Linked DNA regions of Notamacropus eugenii. The protein of the gene in region 4 purifies or fractionates together with the protein of the main gene of each other region. This does not show direct contact. Links are inferred from orthologs where the notes say so. Each region holds a gene or a part of one and is shown on either strand. Other genes may lie near its edges.

Evidence for each region.
Region 1: the proteins of PAK2 (region 4) and GIT2 purify together in Homo sapiens (affinity purification with mass spectrometry; 3 studies listed by BioGRID and IntAct, with this or other methods). This does not show direct contact. The link is inferred for Notamacropus eugenii from reciprocal best matches to the Homo sapiens genes PAK2 and GIT2.
Region 2: the proteins of PAK2 (region 4) and ARHGEF6 purify together in Homo sapiens (affinity purification with mass spectrometry; 3 studies listed by BioGRID and IntAct, counting the BioPlex papers as one, with this or other methods). This does not show direct contact. The link is inferred for Notamacropus eugenii from reciprocal best matches to the Homo sapiens genes PAK2 and ARHGEF6.
Region 3: the proteins of PAK2 (region 4) and GIT1 purify together in Homo sapiens (affinity purification with mass spectrometry; 5 studies listed by BioGRID and IntAct, with this or other methods). This does not show direct contact. The link is inferred for Notamacropus eugenii from reciprocal best matches to the Homo sapiens genes PAK2 and GIT1.

Annotation. Positions count from the first base shown.
Region 1 is NC_092875.1:22,007,467-22,014,609, forward strand, and holds the start of GIT2 (ARF GTPase-activating protein GIT2), read left to right. Parts: upstream 1-4,129; 5' UTR 4,130-4,156; coding exon 4,157-4,211; intron 4,212-7,143. UniProt on the Homo sapiens protein: GTPase-activating protein for ADP ribosylation factor family members, including ARF1.
Region 2 is NC_092879.1:58,084,607-58,091,627, forward strand, and holds the start of ARHGEF6 (rho guanine nucleotide exchange factor 6), read right to left. Parts: upstream 3,012-7,021; 5' UTR 2,709-3,011; coding exon 2,544-2,708; intron 577-2,543; coding exon 493-576; intron 1-492. UniProt on the Homo sapiens protein: Acts as a RAC1 guanine nucleotide exchange factor (GEF).
Region 3 is NC_092873.1:37,130,915-37,137,893, reverse strand, and holds the start of GIT1 (ARF GTPase-activating protein GIT1), read left to right. Parts: upstream 1-3,975; 5' UTR 3,976-4,051; coding exon 4,052-4,103; intron 4,104-6,979. Other genes in the region: uncharacterized protein, read right to left, coding at 2,382-2,427, 3,414-3,970. UniProt on the Homo sapiens protein: GTPase-activating protein for ADP ribosylation factor family members, including ARF1.
Region 4 is NC_092876.1:335,605,583-335,613,158, reverse strand, and holds the start of PAK2 (serine/threonine-protein kinase PAK 2), read left to right. Parts: upstream 1-4,572; 5' UTR 4,573-4,684; intron 4,685-7,576. Other genes in the region: PIGX (phosphatidylinositol-glycan biosynthesis class X protein), read left to right, coding at 66-209. UniProt on the Homo sapiens protein: Serine/threonine protein kinase that plays a role in a variety of different signaling pathways including cytoskeleton regulation, cell motility, cell cycle progression, apoptosis or proliferation.

The DNA.
Region 1 (7,143 bases), on a different chromosome or scaffold from region 4:
ATGTAATATTGTAATATGATAAGCACTATATAAACCTTAGTTATAGAGTAATCCCTATAAATATATATTAATATACAGTAAATGCTATATAAATGTTAGTTATTATACAGTAAGTACTGTAAATGTTATTATATGTTATAATATATAATATGTAGTGAGTACTACATGTTAGTTACTAGTAGTAAACATTATAATATTATATACAGTACTATAAATATATATTATGTTATAATATATGTAATTATAATACAATTAGATATGTCATAATATAATATGTATGTGTTAAAATTAAATACATATGATATATAATATGTATTAAACACCATAAATGTTAGTTGTGATTACATAGTAAGCACTATACAGATATAATAAAATGCTAATAGTAGTAAGCACTAAAAATGTAGAATATATTTTTATATGACATATAGTAAGCACTATATATTATAATGTAAATATACAGTAAAACTGTATAAATGTTATTATTATATAGTAAATCCTATCAATATCTTATATGTAGTAAATACTACATGTTAGTAGTAGTAGTGAACACTATAAATCTATGTTATAATGTATAATATGTAGCAAGCACTATAAATCTACATTATGCATATTATATGTAATAAGCACCGTACGTTACTATACAGTAAGCAGTATGTGCTATATAACGTGTTATAGTATGTAGTAAGCACTATGTCCTTGTTACTTATTAACGTCATTAGAGCTAACAGCAGATGCAGAGCTAGGGATGGAATCGGGAAGGACTAAGCTCGGCCCCTGCTTACGGGTAACCCTGGGTAACTAGGTCCTGCACACTTACATCCGAAGTCACACATAGCTGCAGACTGCTGCTGGGCCCCCAGGCCTAGGTGCTCAGATACCCCAGCTAAGGGGCCAGAACCCCAGGCTTCAGTCCTAAGGAGAAGGGTCAAGTTCTTGGTCCTGATCACTGTCCTGTCACAGGCTGCACTGGGCATCCTCCGGAGAGCTGAGGTTTGACTTGGCCCTCACTAAAGGCTGATCCCCAAAGGGTGCAGCAGGGACCCCTCCAGAAAGGTTCTGGATGAACAAAGCGCCTCAGGTTTCTAGGACAGCTCTTTATGTCTCCACTACAAAAGGGGTATTTAAAACACTCAAGTTTCGTAAACACATGTTAACAAAGACATAAAAGATGAGACAGTAGCCTGTGCCCCTATGCCAGCCTGCTAGGAAGCTGATCCTTTAAACGGTGGCATGAGGTCAGACCGCTGAGCGGGCATTTTCCCTGGGCTCTGCCTTGTGTCCACAACTACCGAAGGTCCCAGGCGCCCAAGAGGCCAGGCCAGGGCTGGGCTTCATCCTCCCTGCGGTAGTCAGTGCCCACAGGGCAGCTGGCACCGAGGGAGGGGCCAACTGGGAGCCCCTGACTTCGGGGGCTCACGAGGGCTCCTCTTGGGCTGTCTCTGGACAGCCTCAAGGTCTGACTTCTGCTCAGCCCAGGGGGCCGTGTGGCCCTGGCAGGGAGAACCGCCAGGAATGGCCCGGAGAGAGAAGCTTCCATGCCACGTTTCCAAAAGAGATGTCATCTCTCCCTTGAAAGCAGAGAGAGACAGAGACAGACAGACAAAGACAGAGACAGACAGAGAGAAAGAGAGAGAGATAGGCAGAGAGAGAGAAACAGACAGACAGAGACAGAGAGACAGACAGAGAGAGAGACAGACAGAGAGACAGAGAGAGATAGACAGACAGAGACAGACAAAGACAGAGACAGACAGAGAGAAAGAGAGAGATAGACAGACAGAGACAGACAGACAGACAAAGAGACAGACAGAGACAGAGAGACAGACAGAGAGACAGACAGACATACAGAGAGACAGAGAGAGATAGACAGACAGAGACAGACAGACAGAGACAAAGAGACAGACAGAGACACAGAGAGAGACAGAGACAGACAGACAGACAGAGAGAGATAGGCAGACAGAGAGACAGAGAGAGATAGACAGACAGAGACAGAGAAAGAGAGAGAGATAGATAGGCAGAGAGAAAGAGACAGACAGACAGAGACAGAGAGACAGACAGAAAGAGAGACAGACAAAGACAGACAGACAGAGAGACAGAGAGAGACAGACAGACAGAGAGACAGAGACAGACAGAGATAGACCAACAGAGAGAGAGACACAGAGAGAGAGACAGAGACAGAGAGAGACAGACAGACAGACAGACAGACAGACAGACAGACAGACAGACAGACAGACAGACAGACAGACGGGGTCGGGGAGGGGGGAGCGGCTGTTCATCCTGGCGCAGGCCCCGCCCCCCGGGCCCCCGCCCCGCCCCGCCCCGCCCCGCCCCAGGGCCAAGGGGCTTCCGCACTCAGTAGGGCTCTTCCGGCGCAGACGCTCCGCTGTGCGTCTCCGGACGTCATCCCCTCTCCCTCCCCCCCCGCCCCCACCCGGGGCGCGCGGTCATTCCCCGCCCTTGGACTGGAAGCTCCTCGCGGGCGGGGCCGCTCTTCCGCCTCTTTAGATGTCCCCAGCGCTCCCGCGCGTAGTAGGTCCTTAATAAGTCTTTATTGAATTGAATTAACTGTGACCGGAGGTTGTGAAGTAGTCACATGATCCTAGATCTGGAGCCGGAAGGGCCCCGAGGGGCCTTTAACTTAAGGGCTTTCTTTTACAAATAAGGAAACTGAGCCAGAGAAGAGAAGTGACTGGACCAAAAGGGACCAGGGGCCAACCCGAGTTCTTTCCGCTACACTAGTTATTTCTGAGGACTGGGAAAGGTTTCTTGTGTGTCCCCAAGGCTGCTGCCCCCCTCTCTATTTTGGGGCTTCTTGGGGCGCTGGCAGCTCTGACATTCCCGGAATCGATGTGAAGGATCCAGGAAAAGGCGTGGCGGCCGCCCTGCCCTTATCCAAGATGGCGCCAGGCTTCCGCAAGCCGCTTCCGGCCACGTGACGGTGCCCCGCCTTCGGGCGGGGCGGTGGAGCTGGGGCGCCTGCGCGCTGCGCCTGCGCGCTGCCGAGGGGGAGGTGCCGCCGCCGCCGCCGCCGCTGCCGCCGCCGTGGGGCTGCCAGCGCTGCCGGGAGCGGAGCTGTCGGAGCGGAAGCGCTGCCGCCGCCGCCGTCGGGGCGCCGGAGGCGGGCGCCATGTCGAAGCGGCTGCGGAGCAGCGAGGTGTGCGCCGACTGTAGCGGCCCCGGTGAGTGAGCGGCGCCGAGCGGGCCGGGCTGGGGGCGCCGCCTCCGGGCCGTCAGGCTGTGCCCCCCCGGGGCAGCTGCGGGGAGGCGGGAAACGAGCGGGGGACTGGGCCCGGGCCGGGCGGCGCCCGCGGCAGGTGTCAGCCTAGGGACCCCGGCGTCCGCGCCCTAGCCCGCCCAGGGCGAGAGCCGCAGGGCCGAGGGAACGGGAGGGACCGACCCCCGAGGGGGGAAACTGAGGCCCGGAGCGGGAGTGGTGGCAGGATCCCAAGCCAGAGCCGGGTCAACCCAAGCCTCGCACGGTGCCGGAGGCCTCGGGGGCGCAGAGCGGGGCAAGTCGGGAGCACCTATTAAGCGCCTACTAGATGCCAGCTAAGGGTTTCGAGACCCTGAGAGCGAGCGCAGATGTGGACAGGGCAGGAGGGGGAAGCTGAGGCTGGAGGGGTGCCCCTGCCCTGGGCAAGAGGTACCGGCGTGGCCAGAGGGAAGTGGGGGGCGGGGGTGCTCATCGGCTCCACCATCCCCGCAGAGCTCCCCCGGGAGCATCTCCTCTCTTTACAGAGGGGGAGACCGAGCCAGGAGGGGCTGGGGGGTCCCCCGGGAGCATCTCCTCTCTTTACAGAGGGGGAGACCGAGCCAGGAGGGGCTGGGGGGTCCCCCGGGAGCATCTCCTCTCTTTACAGAGGGGGAGGCCGAGCCAGGAGGGGCTGGGAGGTCCCCCGGGAGGATCTCCTCTCTTTACAATCCAAGAGACCTGAGGGACTGTTTTGGCCAGGGAGTCCTAAGGTGGAGCCTGAAGATCCCTAGGTGTCTGGAGATAAATTTCATAGAGTCTATGAACATGAATGTGGGAAAATGTGGTCTTTATTTTCTCTCTCCTCTTAACTGAAGCACAGCATTTCCTTCAGTCATTTAGAAATGTTCAAAGAAGGGGTCTCCGCATCCCCAGACCACCCCAGGAATCTGGAGCAGGAGAACAAGGATGAGAACGCCCATCTCCTCCAGCCCCCTCTTTGTATGTCTGAGGGACCTTCCAGGTGTCTGCTTCCACTCCCTTACTTGACTGATGAGGAAACTGAGCTTCCAAGAACCTCAAGAGATCCCTTAACTCAGCCCCTTCTTTTACAAGGGGGAAACTGAAGGCTAGAGTGACCCAGCATTTGGTGCTGGTCGTCCTACGCAGGCATTAGAATGTATCGTCATTCCCTCACCGTGGTCAGGTTGACTATCCAGGTGTTATTATCCCCAGTTTACAAATGAGGAAGCCAAGGTCCCTTGACCCAAGGATTGTGTGACCCTGGAATTTGAATCTGGGTGCTTTGGCTCATGATCCAGGGCTCCCTTCACACCATCTTCAATGAATCAACGAATTTTTACAGAGCATGTTTGGTGTCAGGCCCAGTGCCAGGAATCCTGAGTTCTGGCATTCTCTGGGAAAGTGACTTCATCACCTCAGGAATGGGTCAAATGCAGCTTTGACATCCTAGGGTCTTTGGTGCTGTGAGCCCACCAGATCGACAGAAGAGAAAAAGATGGGCTCATTCACCAGTTATGAGAGCTTGTGTTTTTAGTTGTGTTTAGTATCCATTAGTTTGTTAGCTGTTGTTGTCTTCTGGGTTCATGGGGTTCTTGTTGAAGGTTGTTGGGGTTTTTTTCCATCGCTGTAGGAGGTCACCTGTTTACTTTAAAGTAGCTTTGTTGTTGTTCAGTTCTGACCGATTCCTCATGCCCTCATTTGGGTTTTCTTGGCAGAGATACTGGAGGGGTTTTCCACTTCCTTCTCCAGCTTATTTTACAGATGAGGAAACAGAGGCAAACTGGGCTAAGTGACTTCCCCAGGGTCACCCAACTAGTAAGTGTCTGAGGCTAGATTTGAACTCAAGAGGATCCATCTTCTTGACTCCAGGCCCAGCTCTATACTCTGCCCTTAGAATAAGTTGGGAGTGCTCAGTGTTTTCATTCACTAGATCAGCTTAGATCCCTCCTCACTTTCTCAGCCAAACTCCTAGCAGAAAACTGTTGCAGGTGGTTTCCACCACTCCCTCCGCCCTCATCCCTTATCCCCTTGCAGTTTGGCTTCTGACCTCGACACTCAAATCAAATTATGGTTCCCAGTGCTATCAGTTATCTCTGAATTGTCATATCTGACAGTCTTTTCTCAGGCAGCATTCAATAACCCTGACCTTATTGTCCTCCCAGACATTTCTCCTGGTGCTCCTCCCTGCCTGTCCATTCCTCATCCCCTAACCGTGGATCTTCTCCCAGGCTCTGTCCTGGGCCCTCTTCTCTCTTGGTGCTGCCTTGGTAATCTCATCTGCTCCCATTATCGTCCCAGTGCACACAGTTCCCAGATCTGTCCAGGCAGCCCCAGGGCCACGTCTCATCCTGCCTTTGGGACATTTCATCCTGGGATCACAGACTCATCCCATGCAGACAACTTGTTCTTGATCCCGGAACCCACCTTTCTTAAGCACGAGTGTCTCTTCTTTCAAAGGCATTGATTGTTGCCGTTCTCCAGGTACAGAGCACCTTAACTTCACCTTTTGTATCCAGTCAGCAGCCAGATCTTGGCATTTCTGATTCTCCAGCCTGAAGTGCAGGATTCCCTACTCCATTAGCTCCAGGGGCTCTCTGCTGCCTTCAGGATAAAATATAAACTCAATTTGTCTTCTGAAACCTCACCAGCTGGCCTTAGCCCACCTTCCAAGCCTCCTGTGGTTTTCCATTCCGTTCTGGCCAGCCTGGCCCATCCCCCATACCTAGGATGCCCTCTCTCCTTCCCAGGGCCCCAGAGAAGCCCTTTTTTCAACACTCAGTTCAAGCACCACCTTGTGTATCAGTCCCATTGAGTTTTTACTTAACTCTGTATATAATCATACATATGTATGCATGTATGTATAGATACACGTTTGTATATGTATATGCTTGTATGCATATACACATATACACACATCTCCTCCAATGGAATGGAATTGCACAGAACAGAGGGACTTGTCTTTTTATCTTGGTGTCTCCACTGCACACTGGTCCTGACTTCTAGTAGGTGCTTGATAGATTCTTGTTTGACTAATTCACGGCATTGATGGATGCAGTGAAATGAGATCATAGGAATTATAAGCTTTAAATTTGGAGGGGGCATACCGGGCCACTTCACAGATAAAGAAGTTAAGGCCCCAAGAGGCTAAATGATTGGGTGGAAGTCTCACAGGATAGGAAGCGGTCAAGCCACAATTTGAACTCTGATCTTCTCATTCTTCACCAAGGCCTCCCTGTTGGTCTCTCCGTTAGCCTTCCCTCTGTGGTCCTTTCTTTGGACAGGGTTAGAGCACTCCTATCCATGAGGGAAAATGCAGTTAAGAATTCAAGTTATCTTCCACTGACTTTGCATTGAAAAGTGGCTCCATCTGCCTTTGGGATTCACAATCCTTACTGCCTTCCTGGGGTGGTAGGGGACTTGGTGGCCTTTGGAGCCCAGTCCTCTCCAAAATAAGGGTCTTGCGCAGAGTCCTTGGACATCAGTATTTCTGTACCCATTTTTAGAATGCCATTCTTGTCATTTTGAAGCTTGGCTGGAGCTTTAAAATGGACCGAGTTAACTAAAACCTCATGTGGCAGTGTGAATGTGTGTCCTACAGGACAAGCAGGGTTATCCTTCCCTTTGCAAAGAAGGAAGGAAGGAGAGGCCAAGTTTGAAACATGGCTGTTGCAAGAACTAAATGAGATGGGGCTCAGTAAATGCATCTGACCGAAAATGTCTTTATTCACTGAAATTACAATTCTCTGAGTTCAGCTCTCCACACTGTTTGTTTCACCTTTTAGTTGGACCGAAGAGATGTGTGATTCAGATATGTCTTCAGCCCAGCTCTCCCCTTGATTTGTATCAATCTTTTTTGACTCTCCAAAAGATTTTTTTGACCAAAGAAAAATTGCTTTCCCAGTCCTAGGATCAGTGCAGATATAGCCTTGTCC
Region 2 (7,021 bases), on a different chromosome or scaffold from region 4:
CAAATGAAATAAAAGTACAGTAAAACAAAGATAATATTACATTTTAAAACTAGGTCAGTGTGAAGGCCACAGGAATCCTTATGTGCAGATTAATGATCCTCAGTTTCTGTCTGAGTTGGACATCATGGTCTAAACCATTAATGTTCCTCGAGACTGAGAAAAGCAGCCATAGAGCACATCAGTTCCATCTGAGTTTACTCTTAAAACTTTCATGCTGGACTGTGAAAGACAATCATCTTGCTTCTGCTGTTGTCTTTTCCAGGAATTTTTGAGAAAGACAGCCTCCCACCAAAGTGACCATCAATTTCTCCTGTGGGGTGAATAAAAAAGGGCCTAATCTTCAACCTTGCAATGGCTATTGGGAAAAGCAAACAAGTGAGATTTCCTCTACTCCAATACCAAATCCCCTCTTTATTGGCATGACAAAGCCCAAAACAAAACCAAAAGCACTAATGATGCTGATACTGAGGTTGCCAGGGCCAACTGACTTACCTCTACCTGAAGACCTGCACATCCTTTGAGGAAGTCCTTAATGTTACTGATGCAGTCAGCTTCCGTTTGGGGCTCCTGATGGTACTAAAGAAATGATCAAGAGAACCTCTGTGAGTTGGGTTTCCCAAGCAGGCCCAGCATGCTTCATGTTTTATGAGAACTAGGTAGGTTTTTGGTTTTGGTTTGCTTTTGGGGTTTTTTTTTTTTTGAAGGCAAAGGGGAAGGCTGCTTTCAAACCAGGAAGAGAAGTAACCATTGAAGGAAATGATGTAAAAATCTAAACGGCCTTTTGTTTCAAATATCAGTTTCAGAACAGAGCCCCAGGCTAAAGGCCCACTGAAGGGTCTCCCAACTCTGAGTCCAAAATTATTTGGACTATATACATTTCTTCATTCTCTGTCCCCATCCCAAGATATTAGGATGTGTCTGGATTTTTTAAACTGTGTTACTGTTTTCAAATATATGAAAAGCACATTTTCCACCTTGCTGCTTTCTACCATTTCATAGGAACCTTCATAGTATCAGAGATTTAGGGTTCATGGGACCTCAGGGGCATCTAGTTCAGCCCCTCTCATTTGACAGAGGAGGAAATGAGGGGAGGGGAAAGACTGGTCCAAGATCACAGGTAGGATCCTAGCTCTACCGCTGGAAGGGACCTTAAAGTCCTTCAGTAGTAGAACTCCTTCATTTGATAGAGGAGGAAATTGAGGCCCATTAAGGTAAAAGTTCTTGCCCAAGGCAAAAACACAGTGGATCACAGATCTAAAAAGGAAAGGACCTCAGAAGTCATCCAAGCCAACCCCCTCCTTTTACAGTGGGTAAACTGAGGCCCAGGGAAATTAAATGACTTTCCCAGTGTCTCACAGCTAATAAGCAACCAAGCTGAGATTTGAAACCAGGACCTCTGGTCCCAAATAGAAATCTTTCCATTGCACCCCACTTGGACATTTGACCCAACAAGTACCAGGTCCAAATGCATCCTGCACGGTATTTTAATATATCATTTTTCTAGCCTAGAAAGTTGTTACAATCTGGCTGTAGAAACTCAAGTCCAAGTCATACTTGGCTCCCACCTCTATTCCCCAGTTCTCAGTTTATTTGGGCACACTCCCTAAATACTGGAGTTCTCCTTTAGAAAACTGCCTTTACCTTTGGAGTAAAGATCTAGCCTCAGGGGAAGCATCAAAAATTTAACTGTGCTAATCTAAAAAGGAGGATGGGGTGGGGGGGAATGCCTACATTTTAATCTTCCTGGAATTATGTGTTCCATTTCAAATACCCATTTAGTTTCAGTTGTTATCGGAAGTCACGCATCCTAGCTTGGTTCTCCTTGTTGCTAAAAGTAAACTTTTAAAGAAATACATTCATTTCAGCTATGCCATCAGCCCTAGATTTAAACATCTTACAATTTCATAGATTCTGATTAAATTGTGTCCTTAGTTCATGGGGAGGTCAGTTGACATCTCACTCACTCTAACAAGAAATACTTTTCTGGTGGATGTTGCCCTTGTCTCAATGCTAGAATGGCCGTACTGAGGTAGTTACCAGGGGTCCATGAACCATATCCCATCCCTCTCAGACATGAATGATGAGGAATCATTGCTAGCTAGTGGAAAGACACAAAGTATTTGACTCACAGGTTATGTGGGCTAGGCAGTCTGAAGCCAAGAAATATTGGTTAAACATCTACTTTGATGTGCCAAGCACTGTGCTATGTGCTACGGAGAGGCAGACAAAAATAAGAAACAGTCCTTACCCACAAGAAGCTTGTATTCCACTGGGGGGATCAACACATAAACAGATAGGCAAATACACCACCTAATGAGGAAGAAGACCAACTAAAGGGATAAAGAAAGGCTTCCTAGAGGAGAAGGCAGGTGAGCTGAGCCTTGAAGGAAGAGCTAGAGATTCTAAGAGGCTGAAGTGAGCAGGGAGGGCACTTCAGGTCTGGGGGAAAGCCGGGGCCCAGACCTAGAAGCAGGAGGCAGTGGGCCCTGGGTGAGGAAGCAGCCAAGTAGGCCAAGGAAGCAGACCATGGCCATTTCAGTTACCTTTTCCACAGCTCCAGGAAGAAGCCGATTTAGCAGTTTGCATAGCACTACCCCATTTTTCAGAGACACCTTCAAGAATTCCTCCGGATCACAGATGGTCTTCTTGGGGGAATTTAAAACTCCCAGAGAGATGAGCCATGTCACGATGCGTTCCTCGGGATTCATTGCCGAGGACTGTGCACCCGAAGCAGCTGCAAGGTCTTACCCACATCCGCGATTGCATCGGGTGCTGTCTTCCTTTTTTCCGGGCTCTCTCTTCGGGCACTTGCTGTGCAAACAGTGGAGATAACTCTTCTCTGGCCACAGTGGGACCTCCACTCCAAAGGTGGGATCTTCTAACCACAGAGACCACACTCAGTTATGCAAAGCTAGAAAGAGCAAGGGGAAGAACCAGGGACAAGCATGATTGTATTTTTCAATACACATCACCCCACCCCCCAACTGAAAAACAAGCTCCTACTGACAGACACTTGAAGGAGCCAGGGCTGTAAGGGAAGGAAGTGAAGAGGATGCTGGGGAGGGAGGGGACAGAAGGAAGTAGGGACACTTGGAAAAAAGAGGTGAGCCAGCCTTGCAGGGAACCTTGCAAATGAGAAAGTGAGTGGGCCAGCCTGGGGACAAGCTGTCAATAGTCTAGCCTCAGTGAACAAAATCTGGCTTCTGTCAGGAAGTGGGTGCCAACTGGCTTGGATGTCCAACAGATCAGATCCAGGCTTTCTCGGGGAATCAGTGGAAATGGCAGTGGGGCTCCAAGAAGGGAGAAGCAGGAAATGTATCCCAGGAATGGCTGTCCAGCCACAAGTTCTCACCCAAAGATGCTGGGTGCCACGACTTCTTGGGATACTCTTTAAGAGGTCTGGGGAGGAGGACCCAGAAGTCTAAAGGCTGGCACAGAAGCGGGGAGGATGGCATTTTCTTTCATGACAAAGAGCGAAATAGAAGGAGAACATCTGCCACCCTGTTTACTTACCTCCTTTCGTATTTCTTTCCGGACCTGATGCCCACTGCACAATCCAGCTGCAAAACCCATGCCAAAGGCTTGGACACAGTAACATGGGCCAGAACATGTTGCTTTAAAAATAAGTGTGTCTGGGGGTGGCGGGGAAAGAAGGGATCGGGGGATTGAAGAAAATAATGACAAAAACAGGAAGAATTGGAAAACAAAATAGCATTTGCCAGGAGTGCACACCACACACTGGGAAATTGGGGATCTTCCAACTCTACCTCACGGGCTGGTTGGGAGAAAAGAACTTTGCAAACCTAAAAACACTAGTCAAATGAAAGCTGTTGCTCTTATTTAGATTAGAGGAGTCAGAGCTGAACGGGGCCTTCAGAAGCTCTCGGTTCAAATCTTGCCTCAGACGTTTACCAGCTATGTGGCCTCGGGGAAGTCACTTGACGCTTCTGTGCATCACTGTCCTCTCTTCTGAAGAAGATCTGATGGGAGTGGGGAGGGCTTGGACTCAGTGATCTCTAAAGTTCCTTCTAGCTCAAAGCCCATGATCCTCGGTGGTATTTAATAAATGTCTATTGGACTGCATTGGATTGGATGAGATTGGCAACGTGGTAGACTCTCTCCAAACTGTCACTCCCTCATAGGTGGGAAACGAATACCATAGCATTGTTCTTTGCAAAAGCTAGAAGTGACTGCTCAGTAATTGTTGTTGTCATCAGAAGAAGATGGGAAACTAAATATTCTCTCTGCTCATGCCATCAGCAGCACTCAGGTTGGGTCCATGATACCTAGACGACCAGAGCCTCCTACATAGTCTCTAATCCATGGCCCACTCAGCTGCCACAGGGACCTTCCTAAAACTCGGATCTGACTATTTCTGACCATGACCCACACCGGTGGCTCCCTATTACTTCCAGGAGCAAATACAAGTTCTTTATTTGGCAGTTAAACCCTTCACACTCTGGCCCCTTCCTACCTGTGAGTCTTTTTGTACTCTGCTCCCTGGCACACACTGGATCCAGCTACACTGGATTAGTGTTAGACCTTCTGTTTCCTCTAACAGAACCCTCCATCTCAAGCCTCCCTCCCTTTGCACTGGCTGGCCCCCATGTCTGGAATGGCCTAGAATGCTCTCATTTGGCCTCCCCCCTCTTAATTTCCCTGGCTTCCTTCAAGACTCTGCTTACAGCCCCCCTTCTCTCTGTGTGATTGGCCTTTCCCAGTCCTCAATGACCCAAGAGCTTTCCACTCCAAATTACCTTCCTTCAACTCTGTCTTTATCTTATATGGAGTTAGCTAGTTAATGTCCTCTCCCCTAGTGGAATGGAAGCTCCTTGAGGACAGAGATTGGTTTGTCCTTCGTTTATAACCCAGAGCTTGGTCCAATTCCTGGCGTACATAATAGGCCTTGCTGTAATATGCTCGTTGTCTACCACCCTTAGGAAGAGATCCCCAGAAAATTAGCACAACAAACCTACACTGAGGAGACCCCCTATGGCACAATCCAACCCCTTCATTTTTGAGGGGAGGAGACTGAGGCCCAGTGAAGTGAAGGGACTTACCCAAGGTCACACAGATTGGAAATAAGACTGCTAAGATTCAAACCGCAAGCTGTTGACTCCAAAGTCAATACATCTCCCTTTATACTATATCATAGCAGTATTTTCCTTTAAAATTACTGCTCTGAAGAATAAATTTTAATTATCTATATGGTTTTGAAATCCTTCATAAGATCAATGCTTTGTATATAGGTTTTTAAAGAATACTTGATTTTATGTATTTAACAGCAATGTATGTGTAGAACCTATATAAGATTGTACACCATCTCAGGGAGGGAATGGGGAGGGAAGGGAGAAGGAGGGGGAGAGAGGGGAAAAAAGTCTAAGATATATGGAAGTGACTGTAGAATACTGAAAACAAATAAAATTATTTAATAATAATTTTAAAAAGAATACTTGATTTTAACATTCATTTTTTTAAATGTTGAATTCCACCTTATCTTCTTCCTTCCAGCTCCTGTCCCACATATTAAAAGCAAGCAATGATATCAGTTACACATGTGATGTCATGTAAAATCTATATGCATAACTTTGTCCTTGACAAATGATCATCCCCTGTAAAATAACTATTTGCCTCTCTGGGCCAATCTCGCGCTTACAAAGAGTTTTTGCATATGGTATCTCGGCAGATCTTTACAACACTATCAGGACTAGTATTATTTTAAAATTCTAGAAACTCTGCAACCAACCCTAAAATCATTCAGATGGTTCAACTAAAGCTCAGGCAAGCACAGCTCAGTCCCACAACAAAAAACTGGCAGAACGAAGAGGAGGAAGCAGGTATCCTCGCTCACCACTTTGAAATATTCTTGGCAGACATATCATGTCACATTATTCATCAATTTTAAGGAAGCAGTGAACCAAGGCCCATGTAACTGAGAGAATCAACACTAGCATTGACACAAGTCACAATAGTGCTTTACACTATTTATACAACAGTGGTTTATAGAACATCCTCAATTTAAAAAAAAGAAAAGCCCTGGGAGGTTGATGTTTCTTGTTCCTCAGTCATGTCCAATTCTTTATGACCCCTTTTGAGATTTTCTTGGCAGAGATGTTAGAGGGCATTGCCATTTCCTTCTGCAGCTCATTTTGCAGATGAGGAAATTGAGGCAAACAGCATGAAGTAACTTGCCCAGGGTCACCCAGCTAGAAAGTGTCTGAGGCTGGATTTGAACTCAGGAAGAAGAGACTTCTGACTCCAGGCCTGGCACTCTATCCACTGTAGTGCCACCTAGTTGACCCATTACTATTATCATTTATAGTTTGTAGATGGGAGAATATAGTCTCATAAAGGTTGAGTGACTTATCTATGGTCACCATCTGGTAAATGACTGAGTCAGAATGCAGACTCAAATGTTCTGACTCCAAACTCATGGCTTTTCTCGTGTAGCATACTGGTACTTGAAAGTAAACTGGGAGAGTTTTAAAAATTATTTTATTTGTTTTCAGTGTTCTATAATCACTTCCATGTATCTTAGATTTTTTTCCCCTCCCTCCTCCTCCTTCCCCCCTCCCTCCCTCTCCAAGACAGCATGTCATGTTATATAGGTTCTACACATACATTCCTATTAAATACATTTCACCTTAGTCATGTTGAATAGAAGAATTAAAATGAATGGGAGAAACCATGAAAACAAAACATAATACAAAAGAAAATGCTTCATTCTGTGAGCCATTTCCATAGTTCTTTCTCTGGATGTGGAAGACATTTTGCCTCAAAAGTCCATTGGGAATTTTTTAGGTCCTTGCATTGCTGTGAAGTACTAAGTCTACCAGACAAATTCCTCACACACTGTGGTTGTTGCTGTGTACAAAGTTCTCCTGGTTCTACTCCTTTCACATCAGCATCAGAACAGTCTTCCTGTTCATCATTTCTTAGAGCACAATAGTATTCCATTACATTCATATACCACAACTTGTTCAGTCATTCCCCAATGGATGATTTCCAGTTTTTAGCCACC
Region 3 (6,979 bases), on a different chromosome or scaffold from region 4:
TTCTCATTCAGAGCAATAATGGTTTGAGACTTGCTAGAAAATGATATTCTCATCCTCCTTTCCATCATCTCTTCCTTGTATTCCATACCCCGCCTCCATGGCAAACCATGCACATCCCAGGATGCCACACCGCCAGGGGGAGAGAGGGAGCAGTCAGCGTCACCATCCCCATTCCCCTGCGGAAGAGTCTGCGGGCCTCCTTTGGTGCCTAGGCATGCTGCTCCCTACCTCCACCACAAGGAGTCAGCAGAGGGTTGTACCTGGACCGGGAGCCTAAGCAGTGGGATTGGAGAGGCAAGAGAGGAAAAGGAGAGGGTGCCCCTGTACAGCGGATACTCCTGGGAATGAAGGTGTGGCTGAGCACTTCCTATGGCCGAGACACAGACGGACTGCAGCCTCCTTCAAGTCCACCGCTAAAGAGGTGTGGGGATTTGCAGATGTCATCTGCTCCTCCATGCCTTCTAAAGTCCCTCTCTCCTCAAATTACTTTGTATTTACTCTGTATATTTTGTATCAGTGTACACACTATTTCCTTCCTGGTAGAATGGTAAGTTAAGGACAGGGACCACTTTTGTCTTTATAAGATCACCGGGCACAAAGCTGAGAAACAGTAGGTGCTTAGTAAGTGAAGGTAGTCTATGTGTTTTCCCTCAAGAGATTGTAATCCCCTGAGGGCAGGACTAGTTTTTGTCTTCGACTAGTAGACATTCAATAAATGGTTATTGAATTACATGAGCCCTCTTCCCCAAGTATCAGGACAAGGTACAGTTTGGGGGAGGGACTGGTAGTAGGGCTGGGGGGGTTGGGTAGTGTTGGACTTGGAGTCAGGAAGACCTGGGTTCAAATCCTGCTTCTGACACTGTGTAAGTACGGAGGAAGTCACTCTCCCCAGGCCAGTTTCCTCATCTCTAAAATGGAGTTGGACTAAATGGTATCTGAGATGCCTTCAGTTCTAGATCTATGATTCTGTGATTCTGCGCGGCCGCCCCCCCCCCCCCCCATCATCCCAGTTTGCTTAGGTGCTCTAAGGAGTCAATTCATCTTGGTTCCTGGGATGTCCCTCCCATCCCTCCCCAGGAGACACAGTCCAACTGAGAGACTTAGATTGAGTAGGGGGAGGCATGCCAGGCACCTGTTTGTTCTCCTTCATGCCTGCCAGTCCCAGGCTGCCACGTGCTCTCAAACTCACCCACACACAGCCCAAGAAACAAAGACAAACAGACCGTGCAGCTGAGAGCCGAGTAGACATTTAATAAATGAAATTCCATAGCTGAGAGAAGAGCTGAATCTTCAGCTCCAGTTCCCACCCCCAGCCTTCATTCCACATGCATTCACTCACCACGAGGCTGGAAGGGGGTGGGGTAGGGAGAGAGAGCCTGTCTCAGCATCCTCAGCCTTGAATGCCAGGGTGAAGAGAAGGCCCATCCTGGGGGAAAAGGGGGGAGTAGCACCTCCCATGCAGCCGTTGGCAGGTGGGGCTCTCCAGGAGCCGAGGGAGCCAGCCAGGCACAGGCTAACTCAGGTGATAAACTGCCTGGCTCTCTCCTAACAACTCAGGGACTGCATTGGGGGAGGCGGCAAGGCAGACAGGCAATGCTACAAGCTGGCAGTCTCCTTTTTTTTTTAAAGTGTGATTATAAATATAGCCAGTGGACACACACACTTTCAAACAAACTTGTCAATCCGGGTAGAAATGAGAAGTCGAAAGAGGCAGGTCTCGCTGTATTTGGGGCGCCATGACTCATGGGCGGCTGCTGTCTCAGGGAGGGAGCTAGTCTGCCCACCCACGAGCCCCTGCCACAGATAGGCTGAACATCTCTGGCACCTCTCCCCACGTGAGTGAATCTCCTGTTGCCAAGTAGAATCCCCTCTTTGTCTAGACTCTAGACGTTACACCTGCAACCTTTTCACCACTGGAACGGCTTCTAACACCTTCCCCTCCCAACAGCTTTCCCGAGTCATGCCCACCTCCCCAGAGACAGAGTCAAAAGCAGAAGGGGGGAAGGGCAGCAGCAGAGGGCAGGGCATTTTATGCAAACTGGCAAGCACAAGGGAATGCACACGAGCAGGCTGGGGCCACAGGTTCGCAGTTTCTCAAGGCTTCTTCCTTCATGTAAAATTTCATAACCTGCGAAGAAAAACCACTCCAAGGAAATATTCTGGGTGTATATATACATTTACACAGCCTGGACATGAACACGTGGCCTTGAAATGAAACAGGCCAGGACTTCATGTACATTCTGTTCCTCCCCTCCAGGAATGGACATATATGAGTACATGACAAAATACAGGAAAGTCCCCACATGAGAAGGCAGCTGTCTGTCTCTTCCTCCAGACATCTTTAGAAGTGGGCTTGATTCTTAGCCACGGGGAGCTGTAGTCTAGGTGTGGTCTTGCCTGGAGGCAGTGAGTGACCTCTCTGGCACCCTAGAAGTTAACAGTTTAATTCAGTTCAATGCCAACATAAGCTGGGAGGGACCTTAGAGGTCATGGAGTCTAACCCCCTTTATTTGACCGATGGGGAAACTGACCAGGGATTTGCTCAAGGTCAATTAGCTAAAGTACATAACAATAAGGCACAATACGGATAAAAATGACTTACTCTTCCCCCCGCCACCCATTGAGTGCCTCTTGGGTGCCAGCTGGGTGGACTGGGGATACAAAGCTGGGCAAGTGAATTTCTTTCTTCCAGAAACTTGGTCTATATTCCTCACGCGGGTGGCTACCTGCTCTCCCCCCATTCCCAGGGAAATCTGGGGATCTAGACTTCCTGCAGCAAGCTAAGACAAATAGACCTATGGAATTCCAAGGAACCCGGAAGAAAAAGAAGCCCAATTTGTAGCCTTAGGGCGTTGTCAGGGGCTGGGGTCACACAGGTGACAGAAGGGCAGCTTGAGCCCATGGATGCCAGCTCTCTATCCATCAAGATGGTATCGTTAGAACGCCCCCCCCCTTTCACACAAGTGTGGGTGCTCTCTGCAGAATCGTGTGCCCCTACCCATACATACATAGAACGTTTTCCCCAACTCAGACACCAGAGTGTGGACACTAATCGATGCGTTCCGCACCCAGACAGCTCTTAGGAACCCAGACTGTACAAAAGCTGGCCCATCCCTCCTTCCCCAAACACCCACAGCCTTGTCACCCCCACACAGAGGATGGCGACCTTTCCCCAACATTCTTTGTCCGCCTCTCCTTGGTATGGGGCGGCTTGCTAGGTCACCCCTAAACTGGCCTATTTACACGCACACACACACACACACAATAAACCTCAGCGAGGCAGTTCAGCCTTAATCCCCCACCTCCCGTTTTTGCCCCATTTTCACCACCTGCCCTCAATGCTCCCCCTCTCCTTCCTCCTCCCGCTGCTAGGATAGGGGAAGGCAGGAAGAGGAACTGTAGGGGTGACTCACCACCAGCTCCGCCCTGTTCTCGCTTTGGGGGCAGGTAGGGGAAACTGAGGCAAGGGGCCAGGATGCGGGGCAAGCTGGCGGCCAGTCACCCAGGCCAAGTCCTCCCCGACTCGGTTCAGGATGGGGAGAGGCTGGGGAGGGGGCGGTCTCCGGGGCTGGGATTGGGGGGGGCGGGAAGAGCCCGGCCCTCCTGGCCCTTTAAAGCCCCCCCACTCCCTAGCACCTCGAGCCTCTTCCTGTGTTCCTTGCCATTTCCTTTCTCCAGCTGGGAGCGGGGCGGGTCCGGGCCCGGGCTGGGGGTCGGGAGGCGCGCGGGCCCCTCCCCCGGTGGGCCGGGCCTGCGTCGCTTCCTGCGGGAGCAGCTGAGCGCGAGCTGGGCAGCCTGCGGAGAGCCGGAGAGCCAGGGGCCGGGCCGGGCCGAGCCGGGCGGGCCGAGCCGGAGCCGGGGAGGACGCGCCGGGGGCCGATCTGAGCGCCGACGGCCGGGGCCCCGAGGGGGCGGACGCGCGGCGGGGAGCGGCCTCCGCAGCAGCCGTGGCCGTGGCCGCGGGCGCCATCGGGGACCCCCTGCCTGCGGCCGACGCCCCCGCGCGCCCCCCACGCTGGCCCAGAGGGCTGCGGCCGCCTCGCCGCTGAGGATGTCCCGGAAGGGGCCGCGGGCCGAGGTGTGTGCGGACTGCAGCGCCCCGGGTAAGGCCCGGGCCGGGGGCGGGCACGGGGGCCCCGGGGTGGGGGGGAAGGAGGTCGAGACGCCAGCGCCCCGAGGCCGGGGGCGGGATGCTGCGGGAGGGTGAGCGGAGGCTGGGGGCTGCGGCCTCGGCAGCCACTGCAGAGCCAGGTGTCCTTGGGAGGGGCACCGGGGTGCCCGGGGGCCCGAGCTGGGAGGGGAGGGGCGCAGCGCGCTGCTCCTGGGCTGCTGCTGGTGCCCACGTCAGTGCTGGTCATCCTGCCCCCTCAGCACCCCCAGCCCAGGGGCCAGCGGGGTCCGTGCTTCAGGAAGGACGTGTCCGGTGCCTTCTCCTCCTTGGGCAGTCTGGCCTCCCCCCCAACGGCATCCACCCCCCCTCCCCGGCTCCTAGGCGGCAGAAGGACTGTGGGGGAAGCGAGAAGGATTTTTCCTTAGGGGGTGGAAGTGTGTGTTCTTAGTTTGTGTCATGGAGTCTCGGCTGCCTCCTTCTGTCTTACACCTGCTGCTCACACGTTGCGATTGCTGTGTAGCTGCAGAGGACATCTGTGGGGAAAGGGGGTGAGCAGGTATCTCCTGCCCTCACCTTGCCCAGCTCCCGGTCCACCGGCCACAGGTCTTCTCACAAAGGTACTCGGAAGGCAAGGGTTACCCAGGGATGCTTGTCTTTAGGCATCCTGGCCTGCCCAGGGCCTGGTAGGGCTGTTCTTCCTGGAGTTAGAGGGGCCAGGGTCAGGCCCTAGGTCCCATTTAATTCTTCAGAAGGTGGTGACTGATTCCTAGGCCTCTGAAGGTGCTAGGGGCTCTCACACCTACTCTGTCAGGCCAAATGGAATCCTGAGACACCATTCCTCAACCCCATAAACAAAGCCTGCTGGGTGGGGGAGGATGAGCAGGCCTGGGTCTTGAGATAGTTTTCCTTCTCCTCAGCCACTACTTGACAGGGAAGTGGGAAATCCCAGCACCATTGGTACCAGGCAGGGAGCACAGGACAGACCCTAGACCTGGGTGCCTAGGGTCTGTGGATAAATCCAGGGCAAGCCAGTAAAGGACACTGGACTCAAATCCTACCTCAGCCACTTATTCTGTGGGTCTACTAGTCCTGTACTTTCCCTGGAACTCGGTTTCCTTCTCTGTAAAAAGAAGGGATTGGTCTTTGATGGCTTCTAAGTTCCCTTCCAGCTTTGCTCTATGCCAGGGAGACCTAGCCTAGGGTCTGAGAGTCAGCTGCCTCCACCCCCTGCCTCTGATTCCATGTTGACTGGCATTTCCCCTTCTCCCCAGAAGAGTGGAGTTCTTTTCCATGTGGGAGTTGCACATCTCTACCTACTTTGGCCCCAGGGAGGAAATGAGGGGACAGACCAGAGGAGCAGTTTCCTTCTGGTGGAAGGGGTGGACTCCGGAGGCAGAAGGGGCTCTTCAGATCTGAGCAGCCTGTTGGGGCAAGGGGTAGTGGAGTCCTAATGGTCATAGGTAACCTTTCTGGGCCTCAGTTCCTTCATCTGTAAAATGAAGAAAATTGGATGACTACAGAGTCACTGTGATTCCTCCACCTTAACTCTGGCTTCATTCATTTGGGAGGGAGATAGGTTTGTACTGCCCACCTCCCCAAATTCCCACTTAGGTTCTGGGTTACAGATCAATTTGCAGAGTTTCCAGAGAACCCCAGAAGGCATGTGGGCAGCTGGTGCCCCAGTGTGCCCTCTCTAGGCTGGCAGAAAGGATCTGGGGAGGCTTATCTGGGGGCTTACTCCCCCTTCACAGGGAGTCTCCAGTGTTAGTGTCAGCTCCAATGATCATTTTGAGATAGGGATGAGGGACATCAGAACAAGCTTTCTAGTGCCCTGTGAGTACCCAGTGAGGGGATAGAGGAAGTTGGTGGTGGTATCTCTGTGGATGCCCAGTTTTGTGACCCTCAGTTGACCCCATTAGTGTCAGAAGGTTAGCCTCTTTGTTGGATGAGATATCCCCAGGTTGGCATAGGACTATGCCCTCAGGGCCCCTCCTCTACCTTGCTCATCTGGCATAGTTAATAGAAGCCTAGGTTTAGAGTCTGAAAAACACTTTAAGTTCTGTTGTAGGCACTAATTCTAACCTTAGTCGTGTCGGTCTCTCAGAACCTCAATTTCCTTCTCTATTAAGATGTGCTGTTAATGCTTGGTAGTCCCCACCTTGCTGAGCTGTTAGACTCAAGTGAGATAATTACCAAGCATTAATTAATCACCTACTGTGTGATCCAGGTGCTAGAAACATAAAGACAAAAACCCAAAAACCCAAGTCCTGAAACAGGCCCTGCCTTCAAGGATCCTATGTTCTATAAGGAAATCATATAAATATTTACAAAGTGACTTCAGAAAGGACATTAGCAACTGAAGGGATTTCCTTTTCTCCATAGGAAGGACTCCTGTGGAGAAAGTAGCATGACATTTTAGCAGATCTTTGAAGGAAGTTAAGGAAATTAAAGATGCTTAAAGGTGAGGAGAGAGTGCATTTCAGGCATGGGGGACATCTGTACAAAGACTTGGAAACTGGCATTGGTATGGAATGATGCCTGGAAAGAGCTTTGTAAACTCTCGAGCTCTCATCAGTAGTGATTAGCATCCTACTCTGAGTGGAAGAAAGGTGACCAAGACTGGTAGAACGTGCGAGGGCTCCTCATCAGTGGCTGTAGCAGACCCCTGAGGAAGACAAACTTCCTGAGTTGTTCAGGCAGAGTTAAAGTCTAGTTGGAATCCTGGCCTGGGTCCTATCCATCCCCTTCACAGATGCACCACATGGCTGCCCTCAAAGAAGACTCCTCTAGGATGTTGGATTAGGGGATTTGGAGTCCAAATGCATTCCAGCCCTGCTAAGTGCCCTGTTTGGGCCCTTGGGCTAGGCA
Region 4 (7,576 bases):
TTTTGAATGTGCATTTAGAGTGTTCCTCTAATCTTAAATTGAACTTGTCTACCCTCTCTCCGTAGGTAAATCAGAATGTGATACTACAGGTTCCAGTGGGGCTGCGAGTACATTGTCTTTTCGTATGTGTCATAACTCTGCTTGTTACAATCTTATGTTCTGGTCTTATACTCAGAGCCATCTTCAAACATGGTCATTTCTCCCTGTGAGAATGTAATGTAATAGTTGGTAGTATTCTAGAATTATGGCATTCCTTTTAATTGACAGTAATGTATTTTAGTTTTGTTGAGAACAGTTAAATAAAAAATGTAGAATGGTGTTTTGTAAATAATTTCACCTAATTTTTACTTAATACAGAAATTTATGCTGCATTTGTGCTTGGTAATTTCTCAAGTATCAAGTGCCAATATAAACAATTTAATTCTGTTAAATGGATAAATTATTTTTCAAAGAATAGGGTCAGTTACAAGATTGTAAGCCCTTTGAGTGTAAAGAATCATGTCTTATTTATCTTTGTATTTGCCTCACAGCCTGAGGTAGCTCTTTGCTCTTAGTGTAATATGTGTTAATTGAATTAGAAGAGAAAAATGAGTTCTATTTTCAGAGAAATGAATTTCTTATATTTTTTGATATTATTAACTAACAGATGTTAATAGAAATCAGAGAAAGCATTACAGATGAGGGCACAGTATTTCTAATCAGACATTTGATTGACAATTAATTTTTTTGAAAAACATTAGAAAACATCCAATGGTTTAGGGAGAAGCAAAATTAACACCAGAGACTGTTATTGCTAATAGCAAAACTTACCATACTCAGTGGCATCCTATTTCTCTTTTATTATATTGCTTCTGGATTTATATACATCTGTTAATGGTGGGGAAGGAAAAATAATGAAGTTACTTAATAAGCTTTAGTATAAGAGAAGTGTGAGGGAACACAGCTCAGTCTGCTCATTAAAGAAGATCTTCTATGAAACCTTGTATGTCTCATAATAAGATTATTATACATTGATTTTTAAAAATGGAGGCCTAGTCCCTGCTTTATTTGGTTAAAAAAAATAGGAAGTAAGAATAACAGTAGGCGAACCTCAAAATAACCCTGAAGTAAATGTGCTGCTAACCAATAAATCAGAGCATATTATTTTTTAAAAATATATTTTTATCTATTGTGTTAAATATTTCCCAATTACTTGAAAAAATTGTTTTAACATTCATTTTTAAAAATTTTGAGTTCCAAATTCTCTCCCTTCCTCCTGCCCCTCACCCACCCCTTGAGAAGGTAAGCAATATTGTATCTATGATACATGTAAATCACACAAAACATATTTCCATATTGGCTGTGTTGCTAAAGAAGACACAAAACCTCCCCCAAAAAAATAAAGTAAAAAAAGTATGCTTCAGTTGGCATTCAGAGTTCATCAGTTCTCTCTCTGGGGGTGGATACCATTTTTCATCATGAATTGTTTGGGATTGTCTTGGGATTTGGAATCATTGTCTTGATCAGAATACCCAAATCTTTAACAGTTGATCACCATTACAATATTGCTGTTTCTGTGTATAGTGTTCCCCTGGTTCTACTCACTTCACTTTATATCAATTCATATAAGTCTTCCTAGATTTTTCAGTCAGGATATATTATAACTATGCTTTTTGGTAGAGTAAATACAATGTGATATATGTGTGTGGTATATACATAAACATGTAAGATCAGGAGAATTCCCAATTTGCAAATCTGTTTCTCACAATGAAACTAATTAATTAAACTGCTGCTTGATTGTTGGCACTTTGTCTCTGGCTTGCTGTTTCGTCATTCTCAGTTTAGATACTGACTCAGTAAAAAATCCTGTTAATATCAGTAAATATTTTATTGTATGAAGAACATAGTATAGTAATATAGGTTATGTAGCAGCATTTATCACAAAAAAGAAGCAGCTGGGGTATTGTAGAAGCCATCCTAAAATATGGCTTTCTACTGTTTTCCAAAGATAAATACCTTCAAAGAGGGTTTATCTTTCTCAGAGGCTTTATAGTTGGACCCAGGACCTTATCTTGCCCAGAATCAGGCTACCACATCATTTCCAGACCACTTCTGGAACATCCTCCCATCCCAGTTTCTAGCTCAAAGATAGATAGATGATAAGTAGATAGATATATACTTCCATCTCTCTCTCTCTCCCGCCCCCTTCCTCCCTCTCTCTCCCTCCCTCTCTCCCTTTCCCCCCCCCCTCAATTGCATTGTCAGTTTCTTAAGGGTAGGACTTGCTTGCTTGTAATACACACAGTCCTAAGCCCAATGCCTGGCACATAGTAAGTGCTTAATCAGTATTTTTTTTCACTCCAGTGCAGAGATGAGTTGGGGCTTCATTCTTTGATTTGATAATTGAAAAGGCAAAATTTCTATGGGCCAATTACATTTTTTGATCTGTTATTTTTTTCTTATGGGTACCTTTGATTTTTTAAAGAGATTTAGCATTAAAGGGCTAGGTTTAACTGTTAAAAATTTACCAAACCTCAAAGTTGCTATGCAATTTTGTGGCTTTCTAGAGTGCTTGCTTCTTGAAGTACAGTGTCTCCTAAAATGATTTTACAGGAAGAATCAACTCATGGAACTGCAAGGAATTTTAAAGATTACCTAGTCCAGCTATTATACCTCATTTTACAGATGTGGAAAGTATAATAAGATGGGAAGTGATTTCTCTGAGGTCATATTTTCAAGTTATATAGTTACAGAATGTTACCAGTTGGGTGGGCTTGATAGATAAATCTATTTCCCCTTTCTTTATTGGACAGATAAGGAAATCGAGGTGGAGACAGTGACTTGCACAATATCACGTAGATAGTATTAAAGGCAAGACCAAGACATAATTCCAGTTTACCATTGATTCTCCCAGTTTGTTCTTTCTACCTTATCATGTTACTTCTACAAAACTGAATGCCACAAATCTTTTGTCTGTACATCCTGGATCTGTCTCTGAAAAGCATTCAAGTATACCACAGGCCTAGTTCACTGCATCCTGACATTCTTCCGCTCATTTCATTTTGCTGCTTCAGGCAGAATAAGGAATAGGGTGAGGACAGTTAAGTGATCATTATACTTGACTTCGGATGAGGGAAGGTGGATCCAAATTTTGAAGTAGGTGGTTTGTTTTTGGAGGTCTCCTGCTTCCTTTTTGTGGGGCAACTAGGTGGTAAAATGTATAGAGTACCGGGTCTGAAGTCAGGAAGCATTATGACACTGGCTGTATATACCTGGGCAAACCATTCTAGTATTTTTGCCAAGAAAACCTCAAATGGGGTTACAAAGAGTTGGATACCACTAAGCAACCAAAAAACCTTCCATTGTACTGCAATGCAATAAAATATTGATTATATACATCATGGGGAAACTGAGGCCTGGGTTCAGGAATGACTTAAAATACACACACACACATGCACACTTTCCCAGTTACATGTAAAAACAAAATCAACATTAATTTAAAAAAAAAATTGAGTTTCAAATTTTCTCCCTCTTTCCCACAAATGCAAAATACAAAACATTTTCCTATTAGACATGTTGCAAAAGAAAACACATCAAAAAGGAAGAAAAGTAAAGTAAAAAAAAAGTATACTTCAAAATGCCAGCAGAGTTTGTCAGTTTTCTCTGGAGGGTGGATAGCATTTTTCATCATGGGTCCTTTGGAACTGTCTTGGATCCTTGTCTATGTTACAATGTTTAAGTCTTTCATCTTTGATCATTGTTACAACGTTGCTGTTATTGTATACAATGTTCTATTTTTGCTCACTTTACTTTGCATCAGTTCATTTAAGTAGAATGACTTTTTTGAATGAATGAATAAAAAATTTATTTAGTGCTTACTATCAGAAAGCATTGTGTTTTGGACATCAAGATTTGGTAGGTAAACACCTAAATGGATTTAGAAGGTGGCATATCACTTCAGAGGACTCTCAGACTAGAAATGGTAAGCCTTTTTCATGCATAATAAAAAAAAATTAGCATTGACGTGTGCATAGGATTTATGTATATCCTAACTATCTGGTGAATTCCCCAAATAGAGCAGAATTGGCATAGGCCCTTTAGGAGACAGGGGATTGCACTACATGAAAGACTGCACAGCCTCTCTGGGCTCTGAATCACCAACCACCCGGGAACTACAACTCCCAGTAGCCTCTTGTTCCCTTCGCGGACGGCGGCCAATCGGGTTTGAGGGGCGCGGTTTGACCCAGGAGAGGCGACGGCTCCCGCTCGGCACAGCCTGCGGGGCGCTGCAGTTGTTGACGCCTCCTCCCCTGAGCTCTCCTCGTCCCCCCTCCCTCCTCTAGGGTTGTGGCCACGCGCAGCAGCAGCGGCGGCGGCGGTTGTTCCGCTTCCCCTCAGGCCCCGGCGGTCGCCATTGCCCAAGGCTGCCTCCCCTGCCCTGCCTGCACTGGGGCGCTCGGGGCGGCAGCACGGCCTAGTAGCGAGGGCGACCGCAGTAGTGTCCCGGGGCAGGGGGCCTCGAGTTGCGAGGCCGGCTCCCGGTCCCCCCCCTACCCTGCTCTCCCTTGCCGCGCCCTCCCGGGGCGGCTCCGGAGCCAGCCAGCCAGCCAGGCGGGGCGCGCGGGGCTTGCGTCCCGGCGGTCGCAGGAGGAGACGCTGACCCAGGCGCCTCGCAGGGGCGGGGACGCTTCTCTCCGTGGCCGCGGTAAGTGAGGCTTGGCGCCCCCTCCCCCGCGCCAGGCACCCCGGCTCGGCCGCCGCCGCCACCTGCGTCCCGGGGCGGTGGCTGCTTATTGTTTGCTCCCCCGGGGCAGACTTCTTCCCCTTCTCTGCTTCTGGGGGAAGGGAGGGCCGAGAAGTTGGGCGGGAGGGCCGAGAAGTTGGACGGGAGTGGGGGTCGTCCTGCCCCTGACCTGCCCCGAGCCTCTGCCCCTCTGCTCTCCACTTATCTCTCCCTTCCACTCACACGTCTTTTTCTTTTCCTCGTGGCCCCTTTGGAGTCCGGCCAGTTTCTCTCCTTCCCGACAGTTCCCAGCGATCCCTCCTGTCCTCCCTCTTTGGGCTCTGGACATGGGTCCGTTGAATCTCTGCCCAGCCCTTAACCCCAATCTGCTATCTCCCTTCCCACAAACCGCAGCAGCTGAAACTCCTGGTCCACAAATCCATCCCCACCTCTGTAGCAACAACTCCTTAGGTCTCATTTCTGATCATTCCCATTTTAATCCCACTGTGCCAGGAGGCGAGTTGTGGACTTCTGTAGGTAACCTTAAATTAACTTGAAGTTACTGAGCATGAACTTGCTGCTTTCAGCTACTTAAATTTCTTTTTTTTGGGGGGGGGGGCACTCCTAGAATAAAAACTTCTTAAGTGGATTCATCATTTTGCACAAGTCTTTTAAGTACTGAATGACCCGAGTATTGATGTCTGGAAAGTACTTCTAGTTTCCTGGTTAGAGTATAGTTTGTGGTCGTCCTTTTATTGGGGGTGAGAGAGAATATCCTCTTTATGCAACAGGAGATTTATTTCCCGCTATATGGTGATTCATCGATTTCTATCTAATAATCTAGACATGTTTTGCCTCCTTTGCAAAAGGACACAATCAGAATGGTTAGGCCTAAAATTAGACCCACAAGCTGGGTTTTGGATCAAGGCTATACGCGTCACATTTTTTCCCCTGCTGTGTTTGACTCTTCCGCTCTTATAAGTAGGCAGGATATTGAAATCTACAAGAATTTACTCTTGAGAGTTTGTTTTTGTAGGTTGTCCAGAAAAATAAGAATAATTTAAAATGAAGCTAGATGAAGATCTCTTTTGTTAGATGAACTAAGTGCACAGTAATTTTGGAGGCAAGTAAAAACTTGTCCAGCCTTGCCAGAGGTTCTGTAGCTTTTGTCAAAGACTTAACTTTTTAGAAAAAAGGAAGACCGAGTAAAATCTCGTTTAAGAATATAGGTTTAAGGTGACACTTTTATCTTTGGCTTTTTAAATTGTGCACTTGGCACTATTGGTTAGCAAGTGACAAATTTTTTTAATCATCAGAAGAAAAAGCATCTATCAGAGAGAACATTTTGTTAAGGCAGTGTTTAAGGTGACAGTTGCTTTAGGAAAACTCAGGACTGATGATAAGTTTCTAGCCCCTCAACAAAGATGATTTTTTATGTTTTTGATGTGGACCTAGACATTGAACCCATGGAGGTGATCCAAATTCAGGTGTTTTTGTGTGGTCTTCTCACTGTTACTGCTGAAAACCTACAAATGGTATGGTGTCCCTTTTCCAAACATAATAAAAAAAGCATTAGTATTGAAGTGTTCCAAAGGCTATGTGCGTGACATGATTGGTTGGTGAGCAACAATGAATAGCCAAGATCTTAACCTCTTCTTTTTCTTTTAGAGACTTAACACAACCCCTCATGCCAAGAATGGGGTTAAATGTTTGATAATTGTAGTTCTGATAATCTCAGGGTATGAGATGTTGGAACTCTTAGAGTTCTTTAAAACTTTGTTTTTTATGACAGTTGTATGTGCAATCCCTGGTTCTCATTCAGGAAATTACACACCCAGAATTATAGCTAGCTGGGAGTGACCTTAAAGGTCATTTAGGCCAGTGACTATATTGTACAGATGAGGAACTAGAGGCCCATAGAGGTGTCCAGTGACTTGCTTAAGGTTATTAAGCTAATAAGTAGCAGAATCAGTATTCTATCACAGGCTTTCTGACCGACAAGACTGGTGAAGCTTTTTCTGCTGTGGTATGCTATCTTTTTTCTAGGTATTCCTGTCTAGTTGAGACCTAGGATCCTGTGACTAGACAACTTATTACTCAGTGATATTGCTGTTATTTGGGAAATTATTTTTTTTCTGGAGCATTATAATGTTTCTAATGTTTGCAGAGAATATTTCCTTTTAGGTACTTTGCCTGCAGTTACTGAAAGCTGCCGTCAGGTGTTTTATCGCTTGAGCAGACAGGATACCTCATTGACATGGCTGATAGAGTAGCATGCTTTTCCATTAAATGCTTTTTTTTTTTAAACAAAGTATTCTGGTAGGAAACACAGTTTTTAGTTCATGACTTTAAGATATCAGAACCTAGGTACAATTTGATATATTTTCCCACAGATCTTTAGCTGTTATTATTTACTCATCAACCACAATTTAAAGTAAAATGCTTAGGTAAAACATTTATCTAATGATTTTAGTAAAATGCTTCTTTTGATTCCTCCTGAATTTATATTAGGTCACAAAATTTTGAGGTGTCTGGAAATCTCATTAGTATTTTGGTCCTTTTGGTGTCAGAAGTTCATGCTTTTCCTGTTCTTTAGCCGCGTCCCTCAAATCCATTGATCTTTCATTGATGGGCATTTGATCACTTCTAAGCTAATAAAAAAGATGGAATATATTCAGGTGACTTAGCTCCAAACCAGTACTGCTGTCCTTGTAGCATTCATCTTTCATAGTCTAGAGGTGAAAAAGAAAAAAAAGGAATCATAAGAGGTAGTTTTAGGGTCAGTGAACATATGAATCTTGATGTCCGTCAAGCATTTTGAATCTTTATCTTCAAAATAATCAAGTGTGAATAATGGGTCTTGTGATAGTTTTA